3 linked regions of the Notamacropus eugenii genome follow. The protein of the gene in region 1 interacts with the protein of each later gene in a biochemical or structural test. Links are inferred from orthologs where the notes say so. Each region holds a gene or a part of one and is shown on either strand. Other genes may lie near its edges.

Region 1 (10,775 bases):
GGCGAGTACCTCCTATGCATCTCTCAAACAGCTGTGTATGGGTCAAGGCAGGTTGGTGGAGGTATTTCTGGACCGTCACCTCCTGCAGGTTGGCTGCACATATACCCAAAGTCTAAACAAGGTTTTAAAATGAGGTCAACTCAAACTGACTGCACAAATAGCTGACTTTGCACATAAGACATGTATACAGATACCCATAAATGCAATTTAAAAAGTGCTAAGTGCTATAAGTACACAAAATGCTATTCAGAGAAATTAATTCTGGCTGGCCAGGGTTGACAATGGAAGTCAGGAATACCTCTCTCCCTGTCATAGTCCACTAATCAACACTAACCTATGTAAAAGAAAATGGAATATTACTCTGAAATATTAAAATTATGGAATTCTCTATTTGGTTCATCCACTGTCTTTGCAAATTTTTCTTGAATTTATTATCTGTCTGGATGTGGGTATTCTTTTTAATCACTGACCTTTTGGAATTGTGGCTTACCATTGCATTGATCATTGTTGTTAAGTCTTTCAAAGTTAGTTTTCTTTAGAAAGTAGTTATTGTATAAATTGTTCTCTAAGTTCTGCTCACTTCATTTGGTATTAATTCATATAAATCTTCTTAGAAATTTCTGAAACCATCCCTTTTACCATTTCATATGATACAGTAATATTCCATTGCATACACACATATATATATCTGTGTATACAGATATATATACATATACATACATATACGTATGCATGGACGTATGTATATGACCATAATTTGTTCAGCCCAATTGATGGGCATCTCCTCTTTTTTAGTTCTTTGCCACAAAGAACTGCTATAAAAATTTGTATACATATGAGGGTACTTTTATTTTTTCTTTGAACTCTCTGAGAAATATATCCAGTGTTATTTCTGGATAATAATAATAGGTAGCATTTTCTATAAGTACTTTAAGTTTTGCATAACTCTTTAGTTCACAAATACTATTTATTAGTTTACAAATATTATCTCACTTTATTCTCACTATAACCTTGGGATGTAAGTGCTACATGATGTCATTGATCCTTTCCAAGAATGAAGGATGAACAACAACAATCCCCATTTTATAGATGAGGAAGACAGAGGCTAGGTGATTTGTCAAGGGTCATATTTGTTGTTGTACAGTTCTGTCTCACTCTTTGTGACCCCATGGATCATAGTGCACCAGGCCCTTCTATCCTCCATTACCTTTTGAAGTCTGTCCAAGTTCATGCTTCTTGTTTTCATGATACTATCTATCCATCTCATCCTGTGCCATCCCCCTTTTCTTTTGCCTTCAATCTTTCCCAACATCAGGGTCTTTTCCAATGAGTCCTGTCTTCTCATTATATGGCCAAAGTATTTGAGTTTCAGCTTTAGTATTTGACCTTCAAGTGAATAATCTGAATTAATTTCTTTTAAGTATTAACAGATTTGATTGCCTTGTTGTCCAGGGGACTCCCAAAAGTCTTCTCCAGCACCACAATTTGAAAATGTCGATTCTATGGTGCTTACCTTTCTTATAGTCCAGCTCTTACATTCATATGCTACTACTGGAGAAACTACAAGGACCTTTGTCTACATGGTATTTGTCTTTGCTGATGCGGACTTTTGTTGGCAAGGTGATGTGTTTGCTTTTTAGCATGCTGTCCAGATTTGCCATAACATGCTTCCAAGGAGCAAGTATCTTAATTTCACAGCTGTGGTTGCTGTCTGTAGTGATCTCTGACCCTAAGAATATAAAATCTGATTCTTCTTCTTCTTCCTTCTTCTTTTCTTCTTCTTCTCCTCCTTCTCCTTCTTCTCCTCCTCCTCCTTTTTTCTTGTCTCCCTATTTGCCAAGAAATGGTGGGACTAGTTGCCAAGATCTTGTTTTTTTAGATGTTAAGTTTCAAGCCAGCTTTTACACTCTCTTCTTTCTCCCTCATCAAAAAATTTCTTAATTTCTCTTCACTTTCTGCCATCACAGTGGCATTGTCAGCATATCTGAGACTGTTGCTAGTTCTCCCAAAGACCTTAATTTCAGTTTTTGGTTCATCCAGCCTGACATTTCACATATTGTATTACATATAAGGTGATAATATACAAACTTAAACTCCTTTTCCAATCTTAAACCAATCAATTGTTCCACGTTCATGTCTAACTGTTGCTTCTTAGACTGTATACAGATTCCTTAGGAGACAAGGTCCTCTTTGAGGACCTGTCATATTTTGTTGTGATCTGCACAAAGGATTTAGTGTAGTCAATGAAGCAGAAGTTGATGTTTTTCTGGAATTCCCTTGTTTTCTTCATAATCCAGCAACTGTTGGCAATTTGGTCTCTAGTTCCTCTGCCTCTTTGAAAACTATCCTGCTCTTCCAGTAATTCTTTGTTCACCTAGCTTGTAGAATTTTAACTATAACCTTACTGACTAGTGACATGAGTGCAGCCCTTCTGTAATTTGGCATTGTCGTTTTTTAGGATTGGGATGTAAGCTGATCTTTTTCAATCCAGAGACCACTATCCTGTTTCCCAAATTTGCTGGCATATCAAGCATAACACTTTAACAGCATCATCTTTTAGTGTTTTAAATAGCTTAGCTGGAATTCCATCACTTTCATTAGCTGTATTGTTGTATTTGACTTCATGCTCCAGGACTCTGACTCTAGATCAGTAATCTCACCATCTTGGTTATTAGCGATGCTAAGATCTTTCTTATATAGTTCTTTCATGTATTCTTTCCACTTCTTAATTTCTTCTGCTTCTATTAAATCTCTACCATTTTTGTCTTTCATCATGCCCATCTGTGTGTGAAATTTTCCCTTGATGTCTCTAATTTTCTTAAAGAGATTTCTTATCCTTCCCAGTCTTGTTTACTTTTATTTCTCTGTATTGTTTCTTATCTCTCCTTGCTATTCTCTGGAATTCTTCATTCAGTTGGGTATATTTTCCTCTTTCTGAAGAGTCATAACCACTAGTTAAATGTCTAAAACAGGACTTTAACTCAAGTCTTCCTGACTCCAGGTCCAGCACTCTATTCACCGTACAATTTTGTGACTTTTGGGGTATATTTCCAAATCTACATATTTCCCTATCTTTTCCCATTGTTCCCCTGATCCCACTCTGATACTGCCTATGAGATTTAGAGCAAATCCTTTATCTTTCTAAGCCTCAATTTCATTATTTGTGAAATGGGGGGATTGTGTTAGGTGGACTCAAGCTCCCTTGCAACTGTAGAGTTATTTCTCTAGCATGTGGAGACATTAGGAATACTTGTTACAGAAATCAAATGAAATTTAATAGGGATGATATAAAATCTTACAGTTGGATTTTTAAAAAATCAACTGCACAAGTACAAGATGGTAGGGGGGATGAAGGTGGACTCTGGTATATGATTAAGGAGTAATAATTCCTGTAAAATTGGCCTAGAGGGTTTAGAAGACTCAAGTCAGTAATTTAACATGGTAGTCAGAAAAGCTAGTAGGGCCTCAGACTACATTAACATAAATATAGTTTCCAGAAAGGGGTCATACAGTGGTCATTTGAAAAAACTAGGGACTTTTAGGAGAGAAAAGCAACTTCACTGGAGGTGGGGGTGGAGTTTGTGTAGCGTAACAGCACATTTGGAAATGTAATGGGTCTTTTTTTTTGGTCCTAGACTAAAAATAGGAGCAACTTGACATGAAGAAAAGCTTTCTAAAAATTAGAGATGAGTAGGATGAGAAGACATGGGTTCTCCATTACTGTAGGTGTCTGAGCAGAATTGTGATGACTATTTATCATTGACATTGTAGAGGGTATTTAGTTCTTCTTAGGCATTGTTGGACTAGATGACCAAGAAAGAACAATGAATTTGGAGAGAATCTGCATTAGAATGCAGACTCAGCTAGTTACCCTCTTTGTGACCTTAGGAAAGTTATCTAAATTCTTTGGCTCTGTTTTCCTCATCTGTAAATGAAGTAGATGGACTAGTTGATCTCTGAGGTGGGCTTTGCTATATCCAGAGTGCCATCTACCACCTTCATCTTCTGAACTCCACTATAGGTTTAGTAAACTCAGACAGACAAAACTCCCAGATACTTTCCTCCCCCCCTTCCCCCCATGAATTTCCCCCCAAAACCACAAGGTTATCTTAGAATATAGGTATATTCTTGATCATTAGGTCCTGTGGGCCTAATTATTGCTATCTTCTGATAGCTGGGGAACATCACTTGTCCATCTTGTGATTTCTTACTCTCCTCCCTTTTCCTTGGTGCCTCTGTTCTGCTCCCTGGAGAGAGCCTAGGTTTGATGGTGGTTGGAGGCCTGATAATAATACAATATTTTTGCTGAGTTTCCCTTACCAAGATTATGGAGATGTCTTAACACATCCATAACCCTTTGCTGCTGGGAACAAAGAGAATAAACCACTAGAAGCCTTAACTGAAAACAAGAAAGCAGCAAAAGATAAAGTGGGCCAAGGGAAGAAAGAAGGCAATATTGCAGCATGAGAGAGAACTAAGGCTGACACTATTGCCCTGAGGCTCACAGGATTTCTAGGGGGGCTAATAGACCTTAGACATCATCTAGTCCAGAGGTTAACCTTTTTTAGTGTGTGTCATGGACCCCTTTCCCCTTGCTTGGAATGCTCTCCCTTCTCATCTCTGCCACCCGGTATCCTTCAAATCTCAGCTAAAACCCCACCTCTAGAAACCAGCCTTTCTTGGTTCTCCTTAATGCTAGTGGTGTCCTCTCTCTGAAATTACCTCCAACTTAACTTACCCTGTACCTATCTGAAGAAAAAATTTTGTATTTTTCAGAGATCAAAAATCCACCTTCTCCTTCTCAACTTGGAAAATTAAAAACAAAGCCCTCGTAACAAGTCTGCAGTGTAGCAAAACAAATAAACCATTGGCCGGTCCCCCAAAGTGTCTCAATCTGCATCCTTGTAAATATCTCCTACGTACATATCATCTCACTCATTATAATGGGAGCAAGGCACTGTGGGTAACAACTGGGGTTTGGCCCTTCTTTGTCCCAGCCTTGTGATTCCGAGCAAGTGGCTCAATCTGTCTCCCTCGGTGTTCTCATCTGCAGATTATCCGATAAAAGCACACACACAGCATCAGAAGAGGAAACACGTGGCAACTCCTCAATCTGTAAAGTGCTCGTCATTATTAATAATAATCATCTCCAGCCCCCGGCACTGTGCTTGGGAGCACAGCAGCCAGTTGCAGGTGGTGCCCGGATATTTCCGACGCTGCCTGTGTGACCCTGGGCAAGTCCTTTGATTCCTGTGTTTTCAGTTGCTGCGGCTGTACGATGAGGATGAGAACAGTACTAACCTCTTAGGAACCTCAGCTGAGAAAACGTAGGCAAAGGGCTACATAAAGGCACTCCGGGGCAGTTAGGTGGTGCGGGTTCCCCGCCTCATTTCACGCCAGTCCCAGGTGTAGGATCCCGGGGGTGTGGGCTGGTGAGGTCCCCACTCAAGCTGACCACTCAGCAGCATCTCAAGCATAAACCACAAGCCCTTTATGACTCTTGCACAAGCAGACCGGAGGAGGGGAAGCGTTCTGCAGAAGCAGAGGCCGGGTTAGGTAGCGGAAGAGCACCAAGACCCCTCAGCCTTTTGGCCAAGAGCCTCAGCCAGCAGTCTCTATTTCAGAAGTAGGGAATGGGAGTCAGGGAAACCGGAGGCAGGGGCGAGGGCCGGTTTCACAGCTTCAAGTGTCCCCACGTCATAGCCTGTCTGCTTCACTTTAGCCTTGGGTCCCCACACTCTCGGCCAAGGCACTTCAGTCTGCCTCGGTTTCTTCCACCGTCAAACCGCTCGAGCCCCCCGCGCTGTTGCCAGGGTCCAGTGCTAGAAACCTAGGGGCTCCCTTCTCAGAAGGTTGTTTAAACGCATGAAAGGAAATAAACATGAGTGCAAAGGAGACTGACTGCTTGAAAATATAGTCATCGATGGAAAAAAAAAAGTCCGTGGACGGCGGGGTGAGAAGCCCCGCTGTGAGTGCAGGCACATGTTTTACAGAGGAGGAGACTGAGGCCCGGCCCGAGGCCCGCCCATGCGGCGCTCCGGGGCGTTCAGGGCCGATCTCCGCTCCCGGGAAGGCCAGAGGGTTGGCACAGACGGCCTCGCCAGTCGGGGTGGAGGAAGTCCGGGATCCTGCCCAGCAGTCCGCGGGGCGGAGGCGCCCAAGGCCTGTTTCGCAGCACAGGCCGTAACTAACGCTAAGCGCAGGGAAGGGCGGGCGCTGATACCGGAAGGCCTATGCTCGCAGGGCGGGGAGTGGGGGGAGAAGGGGGAACGGGTCTCCGCTCCGCGGGCCGAGGCCTCCCCTTTAAGGGGCCGCCCCCTTTAAGAAACCGGCCTTGTCCGCGCCCACTCCGCGGCCCCTTTAAGCGCGCGCCCCGCGGGGCCCCGCCCCTTCCTCCCCACCCCCCCCCTTCTTACTCCGAGCTTGGTTCCTTTAAGCGCGCGCCCGCTTGGGGGACCGCGCGCCCGCTTGGGGGACCCCGCCCCTCCTCCTCCTCTTCCCCCTAGCCCGCTCCTCTTTCCACCCTCGGCCGGCTCCCGCCCCCGCCCCCGCCCCCGCCCCGCAGCCGCACCCCCGCGCCCGCCCCGCAGCCGCACCCCCGCGCCCGGAGCAGGTCTGGCGGCCGGCGCGTGGAGGTGAGCGCGGGGGGCCGAGGGGAGCCCGCTCCAGCCCTTTCCCTGTCCTCGCGGGACCCCGGGGGCGGGGCTGGAGCCGGGGGCGGAGGCAGGAGGGGGGGCCCCCTCGTGGCAGACCGCGGGACAGGGGAGCGAGACCAGGTGGGGGTACCACGGGCGGAGGGGGCGGGGGAGGAGCAGGCTGGGGTCCCGGTCCAGCCCCAGGGCTCCCAGCCTGCCCTGCCTCGGCGATGTCCCGGGCTTGGTGTCCCCCGGGCTCTGGAGCCTTCCGGGGATATAACGGGGCCTGCTGACCTCTGTCCTCTGACCCCCGACCAGCCCCCCGCGAGCTGCGGATGGGGCGCTCCCCTCCGCCCCGGTCCCCGAGCCTGGGCAGCACCGCCTTCCCAGGGTGGGAGGGCGGGTGGAGGCTGTGGGGAGAGAGCAGGTCCCCCAGCTTGCTATGATACAGAGAGGATCTCCCTTTTCTCCCCACCACCCTAGGGCTGGAGTTGGGGTAGGGGTCCCCTCCGAGGACCGTGCTGAGCGGAGAACGCGGGGCTGCCCGCCACAAGGCCTGCGGTCATCATGGCAATGCGGGAGTTGGTGGAGGCAGAGTGCGGTGGGGCTAACCCCCTCATGAAGCTGGCAGGTCACTTCACCCAGGACAAAGCCTTGCAGCAGGAAGGGCTGCACCCTGGCCCCTGGCCCCCGGGAGCCCCAGCCCCCGAAGCGGTGAGTCTTCGGGAAGGGGGCACGGGAGGGAGGGGAGGCGGAATGTGGGCACCCCTCTGACCGCCCCCTCTTGCCTCTCTCCTAGGTCTCCAAACCTCTGGGAGTGGCTTCCGAAAATGAGGTAAACATGCACGTCTCCTTCCTGCTACCTCTTCTCTTGTCTCCTTGCCCCAGTGGGAAGAGCGCTGGAGTTACAGGACCTGAGTTCAGATTCTGTCTTTGCCACTTACTACCTTTGTGACCTTGGGCCTCTGGGCCCGCTGTCCTCAGCTGCAAATGAGGGATTTGGAGTAGGTGACCTCTGAGATCCTTTGTGACTCTCAAGCTGTCATTCTGTGATACCTTGTTGCCTCTAAGTCTCATTCCCCTTCTTTTCCTTCCCTGGCCTGACGTGCTTTGGCTCCCTCTCTTATCCTTTTGCATGCTTCTCACTGGAGTTTCCCGTTTTCTTTGTTTCTGTAGTTTCCACGTTCTTTTCTCTCACCTGTGGTCTTTGTATGCTCTAGTTTGCAGGCTTCTCTGTCTTCCCAATCAAGTTTTCCTATTGCTTCTTAATGGTGTCTTTCCTGACAGTTGGTGGCTGAATTCCTTCAGGACCAGAATGTCCCACTTGTGTCCCGGGCTCCCCAGACCTTCAAGATGGATGATTTGTTGGCAGAAATGCAAGAAATTGAACAGTCTAGCTTCCGCCAGGCTCCCCAGAGAGGTAGATCCATGGCCCAGTGGGAGGGAAGATGGCCAATTTTTGTGCCATTTTGGGAGACCCCTTACTAAGGGCTGGTCATTGGCAAGAAGACTTGGAGGTAACGGAAGAGACAGGATGTGGTACTATCAGTTGAACTCAACTTGAGTTGCTGAGCTTTGTTTTTGTTTTTTGATTTTTTTTTTCATTTTTTATTCATCTCTTTCTCTTAGCCCCAGGTGTGGCTGACCTGGCACTATCTGAGAACTGGGCTGAAGAGTTCCTGGCAGCTGGAGATGCAGTGGACGTAGCTCAGGATTACAATGAGGCTGACTGGTCTCAGGAATTCATAACTGAAGTTACAGGTGAGGCTTTAAATGAGGGAGTCTGTAACCCCCTTCAATGAAGCAGTCAGATTCATTTCTCCTCCCTTTTCTCCCCATTCCTCCCCAATCAGGATATAATGCAGTTTCAACAACTTGATCCTTAGGTCCACTGGCTCAATTTTATAGGCAGATGGGCCTTTGACTTCCATGTAGGCCAGGGGTTCTTAAGCTGTTCTTAAGGTTCTTAACCTTAACAGACCCTGGACTGTGTTTTTTTAAAAAATACTTTGATAACTGTATTTTAAAAAATAATTTTAAAATAGAGTTTAATTACTTTCATTTTTTCAATTAACAAGCTTTTAAAAAAATCAATCTGTCTCTCCTAACACTGTCGCTACATTGATTAAAAAAATTTTAAAGCCCTCAATACATAGCCTACATAGTCCAGCAAAGCAAATTGCTACATTTACCATGCCCAAAAAGGTATGTCATACTGTGCCATCTTAAGTTCATCACTTCTGTATTGGTGAATAGCTTCTTCATCCACATTCTTTGGAACTAATCTTTTATCATTGCATTGACCTTTCAAAATTGTTTTTCTTTATGGTGTTATTTAATAAATTATTCTATTTCTGCTCATCTCACTCAACATTAGTTCACAGCGTCTTCCCAGTTTCTTCTGAAAGTGTTAGTTTCATCATTTCTTATGGCACCGTAATATTTCATTCATTCATATCCCATAATTTGTTTAGCCATTCCTCAATAGGAGGATACCCCCTTAGTTTTCAATTTGTGGATATCATAAGATCTGCCCTTTTTTTAAAAAAAAAAATCGTTTTGTTGGGGTTTAGGCCTAGTAACGGTATAGCCTGGTCAAAGGGCATGCACAGTTTGGTAACTTTCTGGGCATAATTCCAAATTGCTTTCCAGAACAGTTGGACCAATTCACAGCTCAAGCAACAGGGTAAAAAGTACAAAAAGTATACTTTTTCCCAGAGCCCTTCTAACATTTGTCATTTTACTCTTTTGTCATCGTTATTAGTCTTACAGGTATGAGGGAATCTCAGAAGTACTTTAATTTACATTAAATTCTTAGGGACTTAGAGCATTTCTTCATATAATTGTTGGGAACTTGGGTTTCTTTTTGAAATTTCCTGTTCATATCCTTTGACCATTTATGTAATGGGAAATGGCTGTTAGTCTTACAAACTTGAATCAATTTCTTATGTATCTTGGATATGAGACCTTTATCAGAGAAACTTGCTGCAGAGATTTTTTTCCCCCACTTACATATTTCCTTTCTACATTAGATATGTTTATGTAAAAAACTTTTTAATTTTACTTAATCAAAATTGTCCATTTTATCTTGTGTGATCCTCTTTAATACTTATTTCATTCATGAACTCTTGCCCATAGATCCTTGCTCCTCTAATTTGTTTATGATGTGACTTTTTATATCTAGGTCAGGTTTCTGTATGGAGCATATCTTGGTGTTTGGTGTGCAGTGTTGGTCTAAACCTAATTTCTACCAAGCTTCTGTCCAGTTTTCCCAGCAGTTTTTGTCAAATAGTGAGTTCTTCTCCCAACAGTTGGGGTCTTTGGGTTTATCAGTGTACTACTGTGTTTGTTTGCTTCTTTATGTTGTGTGTCTAATCTGTCCCACTGATAGACCTCTCTCCTTTTTTTTTGACCAGTACAAAATCTTTCTAATGATTACTGCTTTATAGTAGTTTGAAATCTGATACTGATGACCCCATCCCCAACCTTCCCACTTTTTTTCATTTATTTGAGATGATTGCATTTTTGTTCTTCCATATGAATTTCATTATTATTTTAATGAAATATTCTATGAAATGTAAAATATTCTAATAGGTCTATAAATATTCTTTTGAGAATTTGAGTAGTACAAAAAATGAATTTAGATAGTATTTTCATTTTTATCATGTTGCTTTGACCTACTCATGAGCAATTAATGTTTCTCCAATTATTTAGGTCTGTCATTATTTCTGTAAAGAGTATTTTATAGTTAGGATAACTATTTTAAAGAGACATGTATGTTATGCATTTAAAAACATTATCCTAAGAAGGGGTTTATAAGCTTGCCAGAAGAGTACATGGCACAAAAAAGGTTAAGAATCTTTGATTTATATGATGGCAGGGAAGTGAAACTGGTTTTGGACCAAGAAAACTGGTTTGTATTGGTGTCTGATAAGGTAATGATTCATTGCTCTTTGGGGGTCAACCATAAACTAGGGTTGTAGAGAGCTAGATATTGGTCACCATTCTAGAACCTCATCACTGTAGTCTTCTCACACAGAGAAGTCAGGAGTGGTTAGCCATCTCTAGTTAAGGTTATGAGCTTATAGCTTGTCTTGGCTGTGTTGCCTAGTCACTTTGATCATGTTTTGGGCCCCTGAC
Region 2 (10,725 bases), on another chromosome or scaffold:
TCAGAAAGAGCTGAATTCAAATTCAACTTCAAACACTTACTAGTTGTGTAACCCTAAGCAAGTCACTTAAAAGAGATAAACCCAGTCACATGCAAGTTCCTTGAGAGTAGGTATTCTTTCATTTATAGCACTCCATTAGGGATTCACAGTTTCCTCATCAGTAAAATAAGAGAGGTGAACTATGCTTTCCAGGGTCCTTTCCAGCTCAAAATCTTCTCCCTTGTAATGCCATTCATCCAACAGTAGCCTACATTTCTCTAAAGTCACTTTCCTACCCAGTCTTGGTCAATCTGGAACTCCCCCCAAGACAGAATTGGTTTATTTACCAATCCTCTCAGCCATGTTCACTATCCGCTGTCCCCAGATGCCATTCACTCCTACCAGGATAGAGTCCCCTGGTTCAACGAGGTTGAACATGGCAGCTTCCATAGCTGTGTGTCCAGAGCCACTGAGGGCCAGGGTGAGCTGGTTCTGGGTTTGGAATGCGTACCGGATGCCATCTTTGATGTCATCCATGATCTGAAGTAAAAGACAAAAGGCAATGACCACCAGCTGGGAATTATGCTGATCAGGACATTTTTATTTGAACAGAGGGTTCTCAAAGACAAATGTTTATTAAATGTCCCCCATATACAAGGCACCATGCTAGACAGAGAAGTCAATACAGATACAACCTCTAGGGAAGGATTCAAATACCCTCTCTCCATCTTTCTCTTCTTTTCTCTCTGTCCACGTCTACCTCACTCTTTCTGTTTTGGCCTCTGTCTTCCTTTATTCATTTCCTCCTCCTTCTCTGTCTATCTCTGTTTCTCTCCACCCTCCTTGACTTCTCTCTCCTCTCTGGGAGGGAGAAGTCCTACCCACAAGGAGACAAGGGAAAACACATGATATAAGGGCCACCACAGCCCATGAGATCATCGATCTAGAGTTTCGAAGAGCTTCCAGCCACCTCTAGACTAACCTCCTCATGAAGAAATTGAGGTTCAGAGAGATTAAATGATTTCCCCAAGGACACACAGATAGTAAGAGAGATCCAACAGAACTCTGATCAGAAATTGAAGGAGGCAAAGACAAGTATGGTAAAATAGAGATTTAGAGTTAGGAGATGAGTTCAAATTCTGGCTTTGAGATTAATTAGATGTATGTCCATGGACAAGCAACTTAATGTCTCTGAGTCTCAGTTTTCCCAGTCATAAAATGGGCACATTAATATTTATATTCCTTTCCTACCAGAATTGTTGTGAAGGAGCTGGGAAAAATAACAGACTATCTCATGGAAGCATACAGAGCCAACATTATGCCGTGGTGGAATTTGTACCAAAGTCCTTTCTGCCTTCATTTTATTATGATGATGATGAGGAGGCTGATTCTATTAATAAATAATGGAATCACAGTTCTCCATAATCCCTCCTTCTGTCCTTATTTCACTCTACTTCCTTTTATGTATTCTGAATTCAAAAGAGACTGAACTGTTCTTGACCTCCTTTCTTATCTTTTTTGGCATCTCCGTTTGACAACAATTTGGTAAAATGAAGAGGCCACTGAGTTCAAATTCTGCCTTAGACACATAATAGCTGTGTGATACCCTGGGCAAATTCCTTAATCTATCAGCCTCAGTTTCCATCTAGTTATGTGCTCCTTCCTCCCCCTCAAATCACTCTGGTCAGTGGCTAAAGAATTTGAACTTTTCTAAAGACAGTTCTTAAGTTGGACAAATAGCTGGTTTCTTTGTTTCTTAGAACTGTAAGCAAGGATTTCATATTGACAATGGAGTTGTTTTTACCTATTTTCGGCTGGTGACTTTGGAACAAGCAAGTGTGAAAGGGATTGTATACCCAGAAAGGATTTTAATGTGGAAAATATGTGATCTTAGCCAAGTCACTTTGCTTCTGGACTTCAGTTTCCTCATCTGTAAAATGAAAGCATTGACCTGGATGGAGTCAAAGGTCCCTTCCAGCTCTGAATCGGTAAATATGGTAGAGTAAGAAAAGCCTGGCTCTGATGCATACTACCTGTGTGACCTTAGGCAAATCAATTAATGTCTCTGGACCTCAATTTGTTAATTGGTCAAATGGGGCACTAGATAGCCTCTAAGGTCCCTTCTAACTCTGATTTTAGGAGCCTCTAACCATAAACACCCCTAAGCTCCTGGTCAAGGTGTAGTGGAAAGAACAATAGATTTGGGTGAATTCCCAACTATTAATGACTCACATTACGAACTCTCTTGCTTTGGGTTCCTATTTACACCTCTGGAAGATGAAGAGATTGGACTTTAAAGGTTAACTCTAAATCATATGAACTAAGGCAAAGAACTAAGCATGACCAGAAAGTTACAGGGCTATCTTCAGTTTCCTGAGAAATGGAGAGAGAGAGATAAACAGAAGAGAGTCAGGAACGAGACCCTGAAAGGCAAAAGCCAAAGCTAGTGTCCTTTTTGGCCCTTCTGGAGAGATGCAATCAGAGGGAGGCTGGGCAACTCTCAACTATTTCTCCAAGGTCATTAAGTATTTACTAGATGGAACACCCTATATTAGAAGGAATCCAATTTAATTCAATTCGACAGACATTTATTAAGTAACTGGAAGTAACCTGAGAGATCATCTAGTCTGGCCCTTCTAATTTACAAATGAGAAAACTGAGGTCCAGAGAGGGGAAGTAGGTTGTGCCAGGTCATTATATTTAGCTATTGACAGAGGCAAGATTAGGACCCAGGCTTCTTGAAATATCTTTTTGCAACTGTTATTTCATTTTACAGAATTGTAGAATCTCTGAGTTAGAAGAGACCTCAGAGGTCTTTTGGTTTAACCCTTCATGCTCACCACCACCACTAAAGTCGCCACCACCCTCACCACCACCACCACCGCCACCACAAGTATCAATTATTCTTCATAACTGACCTTTCCTTTCCCATCCCTGTGCCTCTCATATTTATCCCTCATGCCTGAAATACATTCTTTCTCATCTGTGTCTCTTATGATCCCAAGTTTATTAAAAACTCACCTCAAGTGTTACTTTCTACATGAGTCCTGATCTCCAAACTGCTCGGCCTCCCCCAACAATCCCCTTGAATCTGTTTTGTGGCTGTATGTGTATACCTGTGCATATTGTCTCTCTTGAAGGAATGTTAGCCCTTCAAAGAAAGGGACTGCTTTATTTTGGGCATTATATCTTCAGCACGCCAAAGTAGGTGAATAATACACTCACTGATTAATTGATTTGTATCCCCAGCACCTAGGACAGTTTCTGCCACAAAGGATTTAATAAGGCTTTTTGAATAATTGACCAAAATAGTTGACATTCATATACAACTTTAAGGTTTGCAAAGCACTTTATGTACAGACAGCCCTACATCTAAAATGCCGTGATTCCATGATCTCTAGACCTCATTTTACTCCTCTGTAGATGAGGGTGTTGGATTTTCTGCTCTCTTGTTTCTCCTGGCTCTAGGCTCCTGTGAAACTTCAACAAGAGGTTCATAGCATACGGTTTTGTTTTATTTCATTTACACATATATGACTAGTCACTCCCACAAACAACACTGGGCTAGAAGCACTCCAGGTACTGTTCTCTCCATTTTAAAGATGAGAAAACTGAGGCCTAATAATGCCAAGTTACTCACACAGATAGTAAATGCCAGAGCTAGGACTCAAAGCCACTTCTCTCCTGCCTCCAGGTCCAACATGACCTCAGACTCCAACTATCTGCTATCCTGAAGTTGAAACGCATTTCTAGAGAGAGTTTTGGAGAAGGATGTCAAAGCCAATTTTCCCGTCACTTACCTGATACATTTCATCATGCATGTGTCCAATAACTTGGTGGCCCCCTGCAAGCATGACCCGAGAAGAAATATTGGAAGGTCCAGGTCCCAACAGAAGTCTGTCTGGGATGCTCAGGGGCTTTCTCAGGGAAGCTGGAGGAGCCACAATCAATGAGTGACTGGCCATGGCCTGATTCTGTGCAGGTGTCAGGACAGGGACGTGTGACTGGACCCAACCTGCTGCCTGGGAAGCCAAGTACACAGTGCGTGGGATGAACCTGTGTATTTCCCAGCAGTGCTTAAAAGCACTGATTGATTTGCTGTTTGCAACAGGTCAACAGGTCTTTTATCAACAAAGAAACAAGAATCAATAGGTTCTGTCTCTGTAAACCTGGAGTAAGCTCTCTCTCATTCTCTCTCTCTCTCTCTCTCTCTCTCTCTCTCTCTCTCTCTCTCTCTCTCTCTCTCTCTCTCTCTCTCTCTCTCTCCTCCCTCATTCCCTCCCCCGTCTCTCTGTCTCTGTATCTCTCGGTTTCTGTCTTTGTCTCTCTGCGTCTTTCTCTCCCTCTCTCCCTTCTTCCCTCTCTCCTTCCCCTCTTCTTTCTTGCTTCTTCCCCCAAACTTCACCTGGTCCTACTTGTTGCAACGACAGGACCTAACTTTTAAAGGCTACTGAGTCCTGTTTTTTTAGGGTTGAAGGGGGTTCCCTTGCCCCCTTCAGGATCAATAAAACAGTCTGATCTAAGCCCTCTGTTATTACCTCCCTTTTCTATGATTTTCTTGTTCTTGATCTTTTGGTTAAAAAAAAACCAAACAAACCTCTTAATCTACTAAAGTTTCTTAATGAAAGCCAATGGCATCTGATCTCTAATTATCACCCTCCACCCCTGCTCAACTGCTTCTTTAAAGGAGTGGGCACTTCTCATCTCTCCCTCCCTTTCTCCCCACCCCACGTTCCCTTAGACATTGAACTCTGAGCCTCTGGCTCTTGGAGGGGCCAGATTTCATGGACTTGTTCAGACTCTTTGTCTCTGTTTAGAAAAAAAGAAAACAACACGAAAACTGAAGCAGAAACCCCTATATGAGAATTCAAAAAGAAAAGAAAATCATGAGATAAAATAAATGTGAGTTGGATACTAGGCCATGATGTTGATAGGACTTCATGAGTTTTATGAAATGGTTGGGTCCATTTCCAGGACAGCATGGTGTCCCTGTCAGTTTCTTGGACTCCCAGGTAAGGTGCTAGTGCCCAAGGCTCAGCTCTGCCCCCACTAAGCTCTGCAACCCAGGGCAAGCCCCCTAAGCCTTCCGTGCTTCAGGTTAATAATTTGTAAAATGGGGATGATGCCCAATAGACATTGAAGGCTGATCAGGAGCAAAGTGCTTTAGAAGTCCCAAACTACTCTTAGTCAACAAACATTTACTAAGCACTTATTAAGTTCCAAACCTTGTTTTCCCAGCTGAAACAGCCCCTGCTTTCTGGGGCAGCTATAAAAGCATCAACTATTAGTCTCTCATTTAAGCTTCAGAATAACACCATGAAAGTCACAGAAACCTGGAAAGGATCTGAGAGAACATAGTTCAACTGTTTCATTTTACAGAAGAGTAAACTGAGATCCAAGTAACATAGGGTCATATAACTAGAGCTGGGAGGATATCACAGCTTACTTGCTCCAACCCTTGTTTTATAAGTGGGGAAGCTGAGGCCAAGGTAGGGTAAATGACTTGCCTAGAGTCACATAGGGAGTAAGCATGAGAGACAGAATTTGAACCCCCTAGTCCTTTGAATCCAGAACCAGGACTTTTACTGTGTGTTCTTCTCTGTGGAACATGTCTCTGTACTGCCAGTAATATTTCTCACTCCAGTATAAACATTTCTTACAATGAACAATCTCTTGTGACCGCAGACTTTTCATTAATAGATGAGCACTCTAAGAGATTCAATTATTTGGAAGGTGTGGTTATGACACATGTTGATCCTAGGAGGATTCTGTGACTGCAGAACGTCCCACATGGCCATGGAAAAGGGCTAAAAGTAAGGCTTTAGCAAGGAGTTGAAGCAGGAATCTTTCTGGAGGGGATACAAGAGGAAGGGTATTAGATTTTGCATCAGAGGACTAGCATTCAAGTCTTAGCTCTCCCTCTCACTAACTGAACAGCTGACATAATTTCTTATTTTGGGGCTTTTATCTTCCTCATCTGTAAGGTGAGGGAATCAGTCTGCATGATCTTTAATATTCTTTCCAGTTCTGAATCGATGGTCCAGTTTCCTTGCACTTATGGTTGTAAAGGCCAAGGCCTTCATCTTTAAAGTTCTAACATCGTTGGGGAACAGAACAAAGAAAGGCCTTAGAAAAATAATGAATTCAATAATTACTGAGCCTGCAAATAACGAATGAACATGAAATGAAGATAGAGTCAAACCGTCTATTTGAAAATTGATATTCCCTCATAGTCTTGCAAGATAACATGGTCCATGTCTCTTTCACGTCCATCCCAGAATGAAGGAAGCAAGGAGAGAAGAAGGGAGGAAGGGAGAGAAGAAGGGAGGAAGGGAGAGAAGAGAAGAAAGTGGGAAGTGAGGAAGGAAAGAAGGAAAGGAGGAAGAGACAGAGGGAGGGAGAGAAAGGAAAAAGAAAGGAAAGGAGGAAGTGAAGGAGAAAGGAAGGAAGGGAAAGAATAAGAAAGGAAAGAAGGGAGAGAGGGAGGGAGAACAGGAGACAAGAAAAGATGAAAAAAACATTTATTTAGCATTTTTATTTGACATTTCCTGTGCAAAGCATTATTCTAAGCCCTAGGAATAAACTAATGGAAAGGCAGACAGAAGCTGCTCTCAAGGAGTTCCCATTTATTAGAGGGAGATCACACAGAAAAATACAGAAGGTCAGTTAGAAGGGCTTTCAGAGGTCAATCAGTCTGAGCTCTGTCCAAAACAGAATCCCTTCTACAGTAGAAAAGGGATTGTGGGTGATTACCTAGAAATGAAGTCACACACCTTCATTCAACCTGGCTAACTTTCTTTTCTTCTTTTTTAATTGAATCAGTAGAATAACAGATCAGGGATCTATAGATCATCAATAGAACATAGTTTACCTAGAGTTTAGTAAAACATCTGATAAATAAACTCATCCTATTCTTGTTGAAAATTTAGAAAGGTATGGGCTAGACAATCTAGCACCCATGATACAATAGTCATCCAGCCTTTACTTAAAGGTATCAAAGCATCCAGGCATGATGGTGCTGGAGGATCTTTTGGCATCAGGAGGTCTGAGCTGCCTAGGGCTAAGTCAATCAGATATTTCCAAAGTCTGGCATAAATATGATGAGCTCCCAGGAATGGGGAGCCAGCAGGCTGCCCAAAGAAGGGTTAAGCAGCCCAGGTTAAAAAACAGTAGATTCAAGCTTCCATGCTGATCAGCAGTGGGGTTAGACACATGAGTGGCCACTGAATTTCCAGCCTAGATGAGACAGGGAGACCTAGCATTGATGACAACGATGAAGATGATGATGATGATGATGGCAATGATTATAGTCCAGAATTAAGGGAACTAGACCATGGCTTCAAAAGTAGAGGAGGCCAGGTGTGGGAAGGCATGCCTGAATTCTCTGCTTTTGAGGATCTTGAGGTGGGGGGGATTTCTTGAGTTCAGGATCTTTCACCAATCGAGGGCTATGAGGTTGCCTACAAGGGGGAAAGTGGCATAGGTTGAATCAATGGAACAGGTCAAAGTTTCTGTGATGATCAGTATTGTGAGTAGCTTTTACACTTTCAACCAGGGTGAGGTAAGGAGACCCAAGCTAAAAAAAAAGTATAGGTGTTATTTGTTCTTTGAATGCTTGATATAATTCATTTGTGAATCCATCTACTTTGGGGGGCCTTTATACATGGAAGACCATTAGTAGTTTGTTTATTTCCTTCTTCTGAAGTTGGTTTATTTAGACTCTTTCCTGTTTTATCCATTGGATATTTCGGTAAATAGCCAAACATTTCTTTTATACTGTCAATTTTTGTTGACATCTAGTTGTGTACAAGAGATTCTGACAGTTTTTAAAATTTCTTCTTGATTTACTTTATTATTTCTATTTTGCCAATTTGATCTTTATAATCTTTTTAAAAATAAAATTTGCTATTGTTTCATCATTTGTGTTGGTCTTCATAAAAACAAACTTAAAAGATGTATCAGTCTAAGCGTTCTTTGAATTCCTATTTTGTTTATTTCTCCTTTTATTTTGTTTTCCATTTTCAGTTTGCTTTTGGCGTATTTGTTTGTTCATTTTCCATCTCTTTCAACTATAAACTAAATTCGTTAGTCTTCTATTTCTCTTTCCTTTTAATGTAAGCATTAAAGGATAGAAATCTGTTGCTGACTATTGCTTTGACTCCATCCTTTCATTTGTCCTTTCCAAGTTTTAGTAATGTAAGTACAAACCAAATAATCTCACAGTCTCTTGGAAATATAGTGGACTGAATTGGACTCAAATCTTCGCTAAAATAAGTGACCTGACAGAGATAGACATTTAGGTTCAGTCCACACAAACAGACTTGAAGTCAGCCGAGAACATGTGCACCAAGAAACAATCTATAGAAACAACTGAGGAGTAAGCTTGGTTGGGTTGGGTTTCAACTCCTTTGCACCAAACAACTAATTTGTGCTTTTGTTTTGTCTTTCTTCGGAGCTCTCTCCTACCCCACCTCATCAGTTTTTAACTGTTTGTTTTGGCACTGAATAGAGAGAACCTCTTCTTGTGCTTTCTCTTACACATGTGTGGATCAGGAGAGACTTTGCAAAGGGCAAACCCACAACTTTAGCAAGCAAGGAGGGTCAAGGCTCTGTCATGGCTTCAGGAATTAAATATCCAAGACCTCCACTAATGCTGACCTGAACACAGCATGGAAAGAAAAGTAAACCCAGAACTTTCCTCTCACTTCTCTCTCACATTAGATATGAAGAGAACTTTGTCTAATTTAGGGACTCCTAAGACATCCATCACATCTTCACAGCTGCAGAGATCAGAGAGAAAGATGACATGATGGAGAGGAAAGATGCTTAGATATGAGGTCTGAGGACCTGGATTGAAATTCTAGTTTTGTTACTACTTGTACTCTTTTCCATGCCTCAGTGTCCTCCTCCATAAATTGAGAGAGCTGACCAGGTCAGATCAGGTCTGCTATGCTCAAGAACCTTCGATGGCTTCCCATTGCCTTTAGTATGAAACAGAGACTCTTTAGCAAGGCATTTAAAGCCCTTCATCATTTTGATCATGCCTTCTACCTTTGTGAGAAATAACTCATTCAGACTCGGGCGGGGTGAAGATAAAAGTTTAGTTTATTACACGACTGCAGTGGCAGGTGTCTCGTAAAATAGATAAACCCTGTAGAAACAAAAACAAGCCTTAAAAACCTATGCCCAACCACAAAGTACCTCCCCTGTCTCCTCATTGGCTGGGTAATTTAGGGTGTACAACTTTCCGATGTACCTATTACATAGTTCCTCTTTATGTGTCCCCCTACTCTGGCAACATGCATTGTATGGCCATTAAAATGAACCCTTAGTCCCTTAGGGGAGAAGTTAATATTCATAATCTTGTTAGGCATTAGCATTCCAATAAGACCTCGATTTTACCTACTTAGTAACTTCTAACCTCAAAACAAGATAAAACCAGTTGGAGCCTGCTTTGCCCATTATCTTCAGTGTGAGACATAACTTCTTTGTTAAGTGTTTCACTTTCCCTCTTCTTCTTCTAGAAGATGATCTAGTACTAATCTATGTTTATAGTGCCTTCGTTCTTAATAGCCAGAGGCAGAGAAATTCTCTTAGACATGTTGATTAGCCTGATGAGTGAAAATGTTTAATCAACATCTCCCACTGCTGTCTTCTGCAATGAATTTATTTTCCTTCATTAGCTGCAAGTCAAAAGACTTTTGGGTATGTATGGATCTCCTAGATTTCTTGCCACATATTACATAATTTCTGTGGAAACAAAAGTTTTAATCATTCCTCACACCTTTGTATTACTACCCTTTGTATACTTCAACACTAACTTAACACAGTAGGCAATTAATGAAAGCTCTTTGGATTGGATTTGATGAGCCTAGTTCATATCTGAGGAATGGTTGGTGACTGATTCCTGTTGGCAGAACAAAGGTAGCAGTGACTTCTAGAATATTTTCTTCATTAACCAGGAAGGGCAGAAGACTGAAAGTAATACCACATGAAGAGTGGATGAAGAAACAAGAGAAACCTAGTTTGGAGAAAAGCGAGTTGTATTCCCAAATTTTTGAAGGAAACTCATACAGAGGAAGAACCAGTCTTGTGCTGCTTAGTCCAAAAGGATAGAAGCCAGAGCAATGGACAGAAATTACTGAAAGACTGACTTAGGTTGGATATCACAAAACATCTCTGCCATTGGAAGTGTCCTCAAGTGGAATGGGTGTTTTGGGCAGGCGACGAGTTGTCCACTTGCATTCTTCAATCACCAGTCAGGATGTCAGAGAGGGGAGTCTGCTTCAGGTATTGGTCAAACTGGATTGCTGATGGAATTGTGTTAACTGTAAACAATGCAGTTGACAATGCAGTTTTATTCAGTACCATTTCTCCCCCTTTCTCCTGTATTTTTCAGTTTATGGAACTGCAGCATCTGAGAACTGGAAGGCACCCCAGTGGTGACCTTGTCCAACCCATCTCTGACTAAGAATCGCTACCACAATATCTCCAAAAAATGAGGGAATTATCCAACATTTCCTTAAAGACGGGCAGAGAGTCCTCTAACTCCTAAAGTTGCCATTCCTACTGTTAAGTAGCTTGAAATGGGTTTCTTTTGCACTCTCTACTCATTGCAATGCCATGGCTGGCTTGCAGTGGAGGTGAGCACATAGAGAGTTACCCAAGAGAGTTTCTAGCACCCTCCTCACTCCCTGAGGAGTCCAAACATTATTACTTCTTGGTATGGTGACAACCAAAAGTTCT
Region 3 (10,051 bases), on another chromosome or scaffold:
GATTTTGTGATTGTGATTTTAAGAGAGCCTGCTTGTGATGAGTGTAATGGACCTGGTTTGTGGAAAGCCTAGGAGGGGGAAAGATTGGGGATGGTGCATTATTATTGTGTATAGATTTTTGTTGTGTGATGGATTTGGGTCTGAGTGAATGTTTTGGTTCTGCCTTCCACACGTAAAGTCTGTGGTATTTCACGATTCTGAATTGCAATGCGATGTTCACGGCTGCCGTGGGTGCTGTGCATATTGCATTGGTGCCACACCTTTCAATAAAACTACTGAAATGCAAAAAGAAAAAGAAAAGAGAAAAAAAAGGGGTACATGAATTGAGTCCTGAAGATAGCAAGGGGTTCTCTGAAACAAAGGTGAAAAGTGGGTCAATTACAAGCACAGAGGATGACCAGTTCAAAGGCACAAAGATGGGAGGTAGAGCATCATATAAGGAACAGTTTAACTGGAACAGAGAATGGGACAGGGAATAATGGTAATATATGTTTAATAAATTAATTAACAGATTCAAACCTACAAAGGAATTTATTAGGTATATCAATTTAATAGTCATTAGCTATGAAAGAAAACTTGGTCAGGGAAGGATTTTAAGAAAGGCATATCCATCAGTTTCTACAATATATGCAAAATTGATTCAATTCTAATAACAACTTAATTACTTCTGTTTCTACATAGATTTCTGATTCAGTCTCAGAAAAAATAATCCAGATGGGGTTTCTGACAAAGCTTTTATAGAGAAAAATTACATCAGAAATACTATATAATATTTGACATACTGCAATCTTCCATGCTCTTAGCAGACCTAGCCAAACAGACTTAGTTACATATTAAAAATTCTTTCCAAAATTTAGAGCTTACAAATGTTTCAGAGGGGCAGATTTATATGTCACAAAGATAACCAAAGGGAGCCAGGAAGATCCTTCCACAATTAAAGCAAGTTAAAGGAAGCTCAAACTCCCTTCTTATCTCAGGAATGTAACAGGTTTCAGCCAGCTCAATAATTTCCTTACCAGGAGAAAAAGTCCTGAACCCCAAATAAAAATTAATAACAGGAAATCAAAATCTCTCATAACAATCAAAAATTTCTCATAACACTGATCTCTTCAAATGGGCATTCCTTCCATCTGTAGAAAACAAATCCCATCTATACTTTCTCATGCTATGAAACTCTCATCCATGCTCTTTAATAGATTATCCACAGAGATTCCAACCAAGATGTCAAGAGCCTTCCTCTAGGTCTTCTCGAGTTTCCTAGGTACCCATGAAACATGAGGGCTACGAATCTCTTTCCTTCACTCTTGTCACATAACCAAGCCAATTTCTTTCCTAAGCATACATATGATGATAGCATTTTTCTACTTCTTGTGTACAGTTCATCACTAGAAAGCTGCACACCTCTTTATTGGCTTGTGGATTAGCTAGTAAAATTTTGAGAATCTCAATCATTGCCAATAGTTATGTGTGTTAAAAAAGACAGGTCTTTTTATCAGGGGGCAGGCATGAAGCTCACATTCTTTCCCCTATTCAGTTCTTGGCCCAATTCACTCACAAATCATTTAGCCCCTTGGTGCTCTATGAAACTAAGACTATAAACTGCAAAGTGCCAACCTGCATTTAGTGGAAGTTTTTTCATTTGGGAGTTCACTATCAATGAAATCAAAGACCGTTTAAATCCCTATCCTCAATAATCTGAATATAAAATACCTAGTGGTAGCTTAGTGATCTGTAACATAGAACTAAAATTTGAAAAGTTGGAAGAAAACTGGGAAATCACCTAATGCAACCCACTCATTTTACAACAAAGGAAACTGAGGCCCAGGAGGGTTAAGTGACAAACAGCCACAGTCAAGCAGTCTGTGGTGGAGCCAGGATTCAAACATGGGTCTTCTGATGCCAGATGCAGTGCTCTTTCCCTCAAAAGGTCAGTCAAACTAACACTTCTTATGATTTGGAAGAACATGCATAGAAAAAAAAATATCTTATTCAGAAAAATGGAACATCACCTAGACAATAAAGTTTCCCACTGCTAATGAAAAGGAGCAAAAAATGAGCTACTTTCTCTAGATTTGGCAAATTTTTAGTTTTTTAGTTAGCAAATTCTCATACCTTGAAACCCCTTGCTTGATCTTCATCCAGCTAACCCTGTTCACTAACCATGGATAAGTCAGTCAATGAATAAACATTTATTAAGCACATGTGACAGGCACTATGCTAAGCCCTAGAAATACAAAGAGACAAAAGACAATCCCTACCCTTAAGAAGTTCACATTCTAATTGGAGTGACAACAAGCAAATACATACAAATATGGTACATACAGGATAAATAGGAAATAATTAACAGAGGGAAAGCATTGTAATTAAGAGGAATTGGGGAAGGAGTTCTGTAGAAAGTAGGATTTCAGTTGAAATTTAAAGGAAGCCAATTTAGCCAGGAGGCCTGGATGAGAACAGAGTACTGTGGGCATGGGAGACAGAGAAAATGCCTGGGGCTACAAGATGAAGTGTCTTGTTCACGTAACCATGTAACAGCCAGAAGGACAGTGATCAAAAAGTATCTCTTGGGGAATAAGGTGTAAGAAGACAGGAAAGGTAGGAAGAGGCTGGGTTATGAGCAGTTTTCAATGCCAAACAGAGCATTTTGTATTTGCTCCTGGAGGCAATAGGAAGCACCTGGAGTTTATTGCATAGTGCCATGATCAGATCTATGGTTTTAGGAAGATCACTGGTGGCTGAATGGAGGATGGACTGGAACAGGGAGAAGCCTAAGGCAGGCAGATCCATTAGCAGGTTATAGAAATAGTGCAGGTATGAGGTGATAAGGGTCTGCACCACAGTGGTAGTCTTCCATCTCCTGCTTGGCACAGCTTGTCCCCTGAGGCAAGGGGCCAAGCCAGATATCTTCAATCTACCTCAGTGCAACCACTTTTGCCTGTACTGGCACAATGAATTTTCTACCTCTTGCTTCCAACCCAATCCCCCAACAGGAATGTGGAACACCTTCAGTGCAAAAAGCAACTCTTCCTTTAATTTCAAGCCTCTCATCTCCTGCTATGCCTGTCTTTTGATAGTAGAGGAGGAGTGCCTCCACTCAGTGATAAACATTCTCACACCTGGTCAGACTCTTCACACCCCAGGGACTCTGAATTCAAGACCCATTCCACATCCCCTAATATCTAATTCCTCATTTCTATCCTTCCCAACCTTCCAAGAAAGTTTCATCCTAAGTCCACCCAGCCTTTCCACTGTACCTTTTGGAATGCCTGTTTTATAGGCAACAAACTTTCCTTCATCTTAAATCTTTTCCTCTCCCACACCTACCATTTACTAGCCCTTACTGAAACCTGGCTCTTCAATGATGAAACAGACTCCCTGGCCACCCTCTACAGTAATAGCTGCACTTTCACTTATAATCCTGGGCTCATGGTTGGGGCGGGGCGGGGGGGGGGGGGGGGGGGGGGGGGGGGGGGGTTCGAATACACCTTGCTCCCCACTGCCACTTCTGGGTTCTCTCCCTTCCTCTCTTCTATGCTATTCATATCTACTACCCAAACAAGATCCTGGTAGCTACTGTCTACAGACTCCCAGGTCACTCCCTTTCCTTCCTCAATGAGTTTGATACCTGGCTTACAATTTTTCTCTCCTTCCCAACTGCCCTCATACTGGAGGACTTTAACATACACAGTTCCTCAACCTTCTCAATTCCCATGAGCTACTCCCCCACTCCATTTCAGCCACACACAAAGATGATTCTATCCTTGGTCTTGCTGACACCCACAAATGTACCAACTCCATGTGCAGAAACTCTGAAATCCCCTTAGCTGACCATAACCTAATGATTTTCCCCACCCCATCTCCCTCTTGCCTTCCTCCATATAACCCCACTCTTCATGAGCCCTCTCTTCTCCCCAGGCCATCTCTCCAGCATTAACCATCCTCTCCTCTCCTCATCTTGACTCCTTGGGGAAGCCGTTCTACTCCACGGTGCTCTCCTCTCTTGAATCCCTAGCGAATCCCTAGCCTTCTTATACTACCAATTTCGCCCCGTCAACCCTCAGCCTCAGACGGCTCCCACCATTCACAGCCTTCATTTCTGCACATGTGCAGAGAAAAATCACATGACCATTCTAACTAGGTCCATTACAAATTTATGTTACATCGCTTCAGCTAGCCCCTTACTACTGCTAGGCAATTCTATTGTATCTCCCTTATCAACACGCTATCCCACTCTCCAATGGGGCTCTTCCAAACCTTTTTATCCCTCCTCAAATCTCCCATGGCTTCCTCTCCCCCCCACTCTCTAAGCTGAGAACCTTGCCTCTTATCATACAGAAAAAAACTGAGGGCATTCCCAACTCCCTCTTCTTCATCTTCTATCACTCACGTGCCTTCTGCCACTCTTTACTCTTTCACTCGTTTCCCATAATAAACTGGCTTTACTCTTATTCCTTACCAAAGCTAATTCCTTTCCTTGTTCAAGTGATCCCATTCCATCCTGACTCCTCCAACAGATTGCCCTCTGTCATCCCAACTTTTTCACTTATTTTTAAATCTCTCTCTCTGGTGGCTCCTTCCCTACTATCTACAAACATACAGATAGATCCCCATCCTAAAAAACCCTCACTTAATCCTTCTGTCCCTGCTGTCATCCTTTATCCCTCCTGCCCTAACTCCTTGAAAAGGCTGTCTACAATTAATGCTGCGACCTTCTCTGGTTGGTCCTCAGACGACCGCTGGTCCCCTACTAAAATCCTCTCCACCTTGATAGGACTCGCTAAAGCACGCGTTACGTGAGCACAGCCTATGAGAACCAAGGGTCACCTCGGTACCTCGATAAAGTATAAGAACTTTAATACTTGATCCCCATCTAATAGATAAGCGAGAGAAGCTGAGGGAGCTGTGCCTAGTCACACGGCTCTTAAGCAACCCAACAGATTCCAACATCACCGCTAACATAAAGACCAATCTTTTGACTCCCCAATCCGGTGGGGGTTCAGTCCACTACAAGGGGATGCCCGATGACCTGAGTCTCATGGCCTTTTCTTTCTATTTTTTTCCCCAAAGTTCTGAACTTCTGGCAGCACACCTCCCACATGCACCAACTGCAGAAGGGCTTTCCCCTCCAACTCCAGGAGGTGCTACTTCCCTCCACCCCCCACCTCTAGGACTTCTTGGATCACCCCTTATACAGTAAAGTACACGAAAATACTTAAAAGGAGTAAAGGGGGAGGGGGGCAGAGGAAGGCACGTGGCGCCGCCGGGAGGATACCCACCACCAGGAAGACCTAAAGCGGCCTCCCGCAGGTCGGCCTCCCCCTCGCAGACTTCCTCGGGCCACCCGCAGATTCCGGCGCGCTAACCCCCACGCCTCCAGCCGCTGGGAAAGTTCGCTGGCGTCCCCCGGGCCGGGTCCAGGCTCCGGCCCCGCGCCGCCTCGCACGCCTGTTCCCCGCGTGCACGTCAGGGCCAGTCTCTCTCCGGCCCCGGTCCCTTCGCCCGGCTTCTCCCGCGCTCGCTCCCTGGGAGCCTCTCTCCAGCAGTAGCGACGGCGGCAGCCCAGCTTAACCCCTTGCGTTCCTCCGAGGGAATGGGGACGTGAAAAGAAGACACTCGGTGCCACGCGCAATGCCGTCCCCGGAGGAAACGCGCTCCGCAGCATCGAGGTACCGCCTTTCCTCCACGCCATCTCCGGCCCTGCCCGGCCCTGCCCCGCCCCACGGCTTGCGGAGACTTGCGTGAGCTCCCACCGGCTGCACTCGGAAGGACTAGGTCCGGGGGCATCATCTTGTCCCGCGGCCGCGGTGGAATATTGACTTGTGTCTAGAGAGGTGGGAAAACAACGGTCTCCAGGACTCCGTAGCAGCAAAAGAAAACATCGATAAGCCCGTCCCCTACCTCGGGAACTTCCCCCGGTACACAGGGAAGGAAAGAGGGGAGCCCGAGCTGTGTTCCACAGAATGTGGTTGCGGGTCACCCAATAGAGCCTCCGCCGGGTAGACGGCTTGCCCTTGCTCCTGGAAAGGCGAACCCTCGGCCCGGTGAGGGGGCGGGGAAAGGTTAGCGAAGTGAATGATTCGTCGCTCTCCTCGTCGGGTCTGCGGGCGCGGGACGCTCCTGTGACCCCGGCTGGAGCCGCCGCCGAGCCGAGCGAGAGCCGAGCCGAGCTTTTGGAGATGGCGTCTCAGCCGCCGCCTCCGCCGAAGCCTTGGGAGACTCGGAGGATCCCGGGGGCAGGAACAGGACCCGGGCCCGGCCCCTCTTTCCAGTAAGTGTGAGGGCCTTTGGCTCATGCTGTCGGGGAGGCTGAGGTGACGGGTAGCGGCAGTTAGGATCGTTGGGTTTGGCCCCCTCCTCGCCGAGGCCTCCGGAGCGGCCGAGGCCGGGGGTGGAGGGCCGGGCCGGGGCCCGGGCCCCGGGCAGCTTCTGCGGGCGAGCGGCGTTTGTTAGTAGCCTGCTGTGAGGGCCAGGCGCCGGACTGGGCGCTGACGACACGGGGAAAGGCAGCCCCTGCCCAGCGGCCGGCAGAAGCCGACCCCAGGACCCAGGGGAGATGACGGACGGACCGAGGGCTCGGGGAAGGCTCCGTGCCGAAGGCGGCGGGGAGAGCTGAGGAGGGAGCGTAACCTAGGCAGCGGGGCAGCCGGAGAAAGTGGTCAGAGCTGGGTCGGGAGGTCGGCGTCACGGGATCGAGGTATAAAAAGACTGGAAGAAGGGGTCTAGGCGAGGACATCTTGTTGTCCTGGAGATCTATAGGAAGCCATTGGAGCTTGGGGGAGGCGGGGGCGAGTTGACAGGATCTGACTTGAGTCTTAGGAAAATGAATTTAGTGGCAGAAAGAATAGGGAATGGATTAAAGTGGGAAGAGACTTGGGGCAGGTTATAGCGGTGGTTCAGGCCGAGATGATGAGGGTGTGCACCAGAAGGGTGGGAGGGTGAAAGGAGAGCAGGGGGCATCAGGCTGTCTGTACCTCTGAGCTTCTGATGAGAGAGAGAGAGAGAGAGAGAGAGAGAGAGAGTGTGTGTGTGTGTGTGTGTGTGTGTGTGTGTGTACACGTGTACGTACGCACACACCCCGTATGTATGGGGGGAGGGGGAACCTCTTTCCTGAAGCCTCAGTATTCAAGGAATAAAAATGAATCTCCCAGTTTCCCTTTCTCCAATCCTTGAGGGCATTGCTTTCCGCTACTAACTCAATAATAGAGTGGTTGGGGCGCCCAGTATATAGTAAAAGCATTTAACTACAGGAGGCCTCAGTAAAAGGTGGGGTTTTTTTTAGACATTTAATAAATGTATATTGGAATGATTTTGTTCTTGTCTTGCCAAGTTCCCCTAATATTTGGCTCTGGATTTTGGAAGAGTCATTTTAAGACTTACTCTCCTCTACTGTGTATTATTATTCTCCCCTCCCGATGGTTTCTTGTTCACTGCAGAGATGGAGACAAAATATCAAATTTTGATCAATCATTGAAGAAACACAACAGCGCTAGAATATGTTGCTGCCGAATTGCTTCTGTAGATGCTCATCAAGCTTTGCATGAAAACAAGATCGGGGATTGTTCACATAATAAATATCCCTATCTTTTGGGTACATTGATCATTGTTAATAATAGTAGATACAACGTAAATAGGAAAAGTTTAATTTTATAGATCTTGTTTCTAGTTATGTAAAGCAGATCTAAATGTTTTGTTTTTGCAGTACTTTTTGTTTGCTTGTGGGTTTCAAATCAATGCTTAAAACGGTTCTTGTTGCTTTGTAGATTGGTTTGTAGGAGCCCTTTGTCCAGCAGTTCTGAGAATATCAATAACAGGGACTTGCAGTGAGTAGAGGAGGGAGAGGAAGAATTGATGCCAGATAGCCTCTCTCCTTTTACTTTTATTTAATCTTTAGTTCATATTACTGTAGGCAGAGCACTTTGCTAGACACTGGAAAAATACAGTTTAGAGAAGCCACAGCCCCTGGTCTCATGGAGCTTACTGTCTAATAAAGGGATATTACACAAACTTATCTATAATGTGCAATATCACATAAGTGCATTGTGTGGGAAAGTTCTAGGCATAGGAACAGAGGCTGGAAAGAACAGTAAGGTATATGGGGGCTGAGTTTAGCTACCCTATAGGGGATTAGAATATGAGATAAGGCTGGAACAACAGAGTAGCATCATGTTGTATGGAACTTAACCTAACAAAGAGTTTGAACTTTCCTGAGTAGTGAGTAAGGAGACCCTAAATTTTTTTGAGGGGAAGCATGATAGGATTAGACTTTTCAGAACTCCCTATTTTGTTTATACTCTTCACCTTGGTATTTAATCATATATGCCATCTTGTATTTTTATTTTCTGTATCTTGTGTCCCCAATGCAACTGTCAAGTATTAGAGGACAAGAACTATTCCTTTTAATGGTTTAAATGTGTTTAAATGGTTTTAGAGTTTACAAAGTTCCTTCATGCTGTGAAAGCAGATACTGTTTTATATAAACTTTGTTTCTCCTTTAGTGTCTAACACAGGGCTCTACATATTATAGACCTGAAATAAATGTTTAAATGAAAGAATGAATCTCATTTGATTTTCACAAGCTTATGAGGTGAACAGGAAATTTTTTTTACCCCTGTTTTCTGAGTATGGAAGCTAGCGGAGGGTGGGGAGGGCTCTTCTGGAAAGTTTGACTAACAGGCACATAACGCAAAGCAATTCAAAAAGACCTATAAAGAAATGGAGAAAGTACACATACAACTTGAAATAACTTAGTAAGCATTTTTATATTTCTTATCATGTATCTCAACTTAAGTGCATATTAGGAACTTAATAAATAATTACTGAATTGAATTTTAGTGCTTGAGTGATTATCCTTGTCATATGGATATGGATCCTGAATCTCTAAAATTTTCTTTCTTTAGATCTGCTGATTTGGGTCCTACTTTATTGACAAGGCCTGGGCAACCAACTCTTACAAGAGTACCCCCACCAATTCTTCCAAGGCCATCACAGCAGACAGGAAACAGCAATCTGAACACTTTTAGACCTGCTTACACTTCCTTTTCTTCTGGTTATGGAGCATATGGAAATTCATTTTATGGAAGCTACAATCCTTACAGTTATGGATATGGGGGGTTAGGATATAACCGATTCCGTATGGATGATCTTCCTCCCAGCAGATTTGTCCAACAAGCTGAAGAAAGCAGCAGAGGTGCATTTCAGTCCATTGAAAGTATTGTGCATGCATTTGCTTCTGTCAGTATGATGATGGATGCCACCTTTTCAGCTGTCTATAACAGTTTCAGAGCCGTTTTGGATGTAGCCAATCATTTTTCCCGATTGAAAATACATTTCACAAAAGTGTTTTCAGCTTTTGCATTAGTTAGGACTATACGATATCTCTACAGACGGTTGCAGCAGATGATGGGTTTAAGAAGAGGCTCTGAGAATGAGGATTTATGGGCAGAAAGTGAAGGTACTGTGGCTTGCCTTGGCCCTGAAGACAGAGCAGCTAACTCAGCAAAATCTTGGCCAATATTCTTATTCTTTGCTGTTATCCTGGGGGGTCCTTACCTTATCTGGAAACTGCTATCCACCCACACTGAGGAAGTAACAGGTAAGGACAATTTATAAGGTTACAAATAATCATATTTCTGTTATAAAGGAATAAGGTCATATAGCCACCTTGAGTTTTTAATGAATGGGACATATCATCAGATTGTAGAAAATAATTTTATTTGGTTTTGGTCCTTTTATAGATATATGTTGAGTAAAGGATATTTTTGACTGGAAAAACAACAATTAAGCATAAAACAAACTTGTTAATTTAGTCATTGATTAAAGTAAACAATTATTAATTGCATACCTACAAGGGCACTTTGCTTGATGATATCCAGAATTTTAAAAACAAATGGCATGGTCCTTGTTTCTCAGTTACTATGTAATTTAGTAATTGCGATGAGAAGTCTACACAAGAAACTGCAATACAAAGTAGAATACGATGAAGGGCTATACATTAGAGTACAAAGCTCTAAAGGAAGTCAAAGAAGGGAATGATCACTTTCAACAGAATTTT

The links. The genes of interacting proteins can lie anywhere in the genome.
Region 2: the proteins of PEX5 (region 1) and AGXT are reported together in a solved structure, tested with the Homo sapiens proteins (2 studies listed by BioGRID and IntAct, with this or other methods). The link is inferred for Notamacropus eugenii from reciprocal best matches to the Homo sapiens genes PEX5 and AGXT.
Region 3: the proteins of PEX5 (region 1) and PEX13 form a complex in vitro, tested with the Homo sapiens proteins (3 studies listed by BioGRID). The link is inferred for Notamacropus eugenii from reciprocal best matches to the Homo sapiens genes PEX5 and PEX13.

The regions. Positions count from the first base shown.
Region 1 is NC_092874.1:195,639,857-195,650,631, forward strand, and holds the start of PEX5 (peroxisomal biogenesis factor 5), read left to right. Parts: upstream 1-6,535; 5' UTR 6,536-6,635; intron 6,636-7,118; 5' UTR 7,119-7,202; coding exon 7,203-7,349; intron 7,350-7,434; coding exon 7,435-7,470; intron 7,471-7,922; coding exon 7,923-8,055; intron 8,056-8,264; coding exon 8,265-8,396; intron 8,397-10,775.
Region 2 is NC_092877.1:377,647,165-377,657,889, reverse strand, and holds the start of AGXT (alanine--glyoxylate aminotransferase), read right to left. Parts: upstream 4,063-10,725; 5' UTR 3,945-4,062; coding exon 3,780-3,944; intron 520-3,779; coding exon 327-519; intron 1-326. UniProt on the Homo sapiens protein: Peroxisomal aminotransferase that catalyzes the transamination of glyoxylate to glycine and contributes to the glyoxylate detoxification.
Region 3 is NC_092872.1:643,856,024-643,866,074, reverse strand, and holds the start of PEX13 (peroxisome biogenesis factor 13), read left to right. Parts: upstream 1-5,989; 5' UTR 5,990-6,176; coding exon 6,177-6,268; intron 6,269-8,897; coding exon 8,898-9,592; intron 9,593-10,051. UniProt on the Homo sapiens protein: Component of the PEX13-PEX14 docking complex, a translocon channel that specifically mediates the import of peroxisomal cargo proteins bound to PEX5 receptor.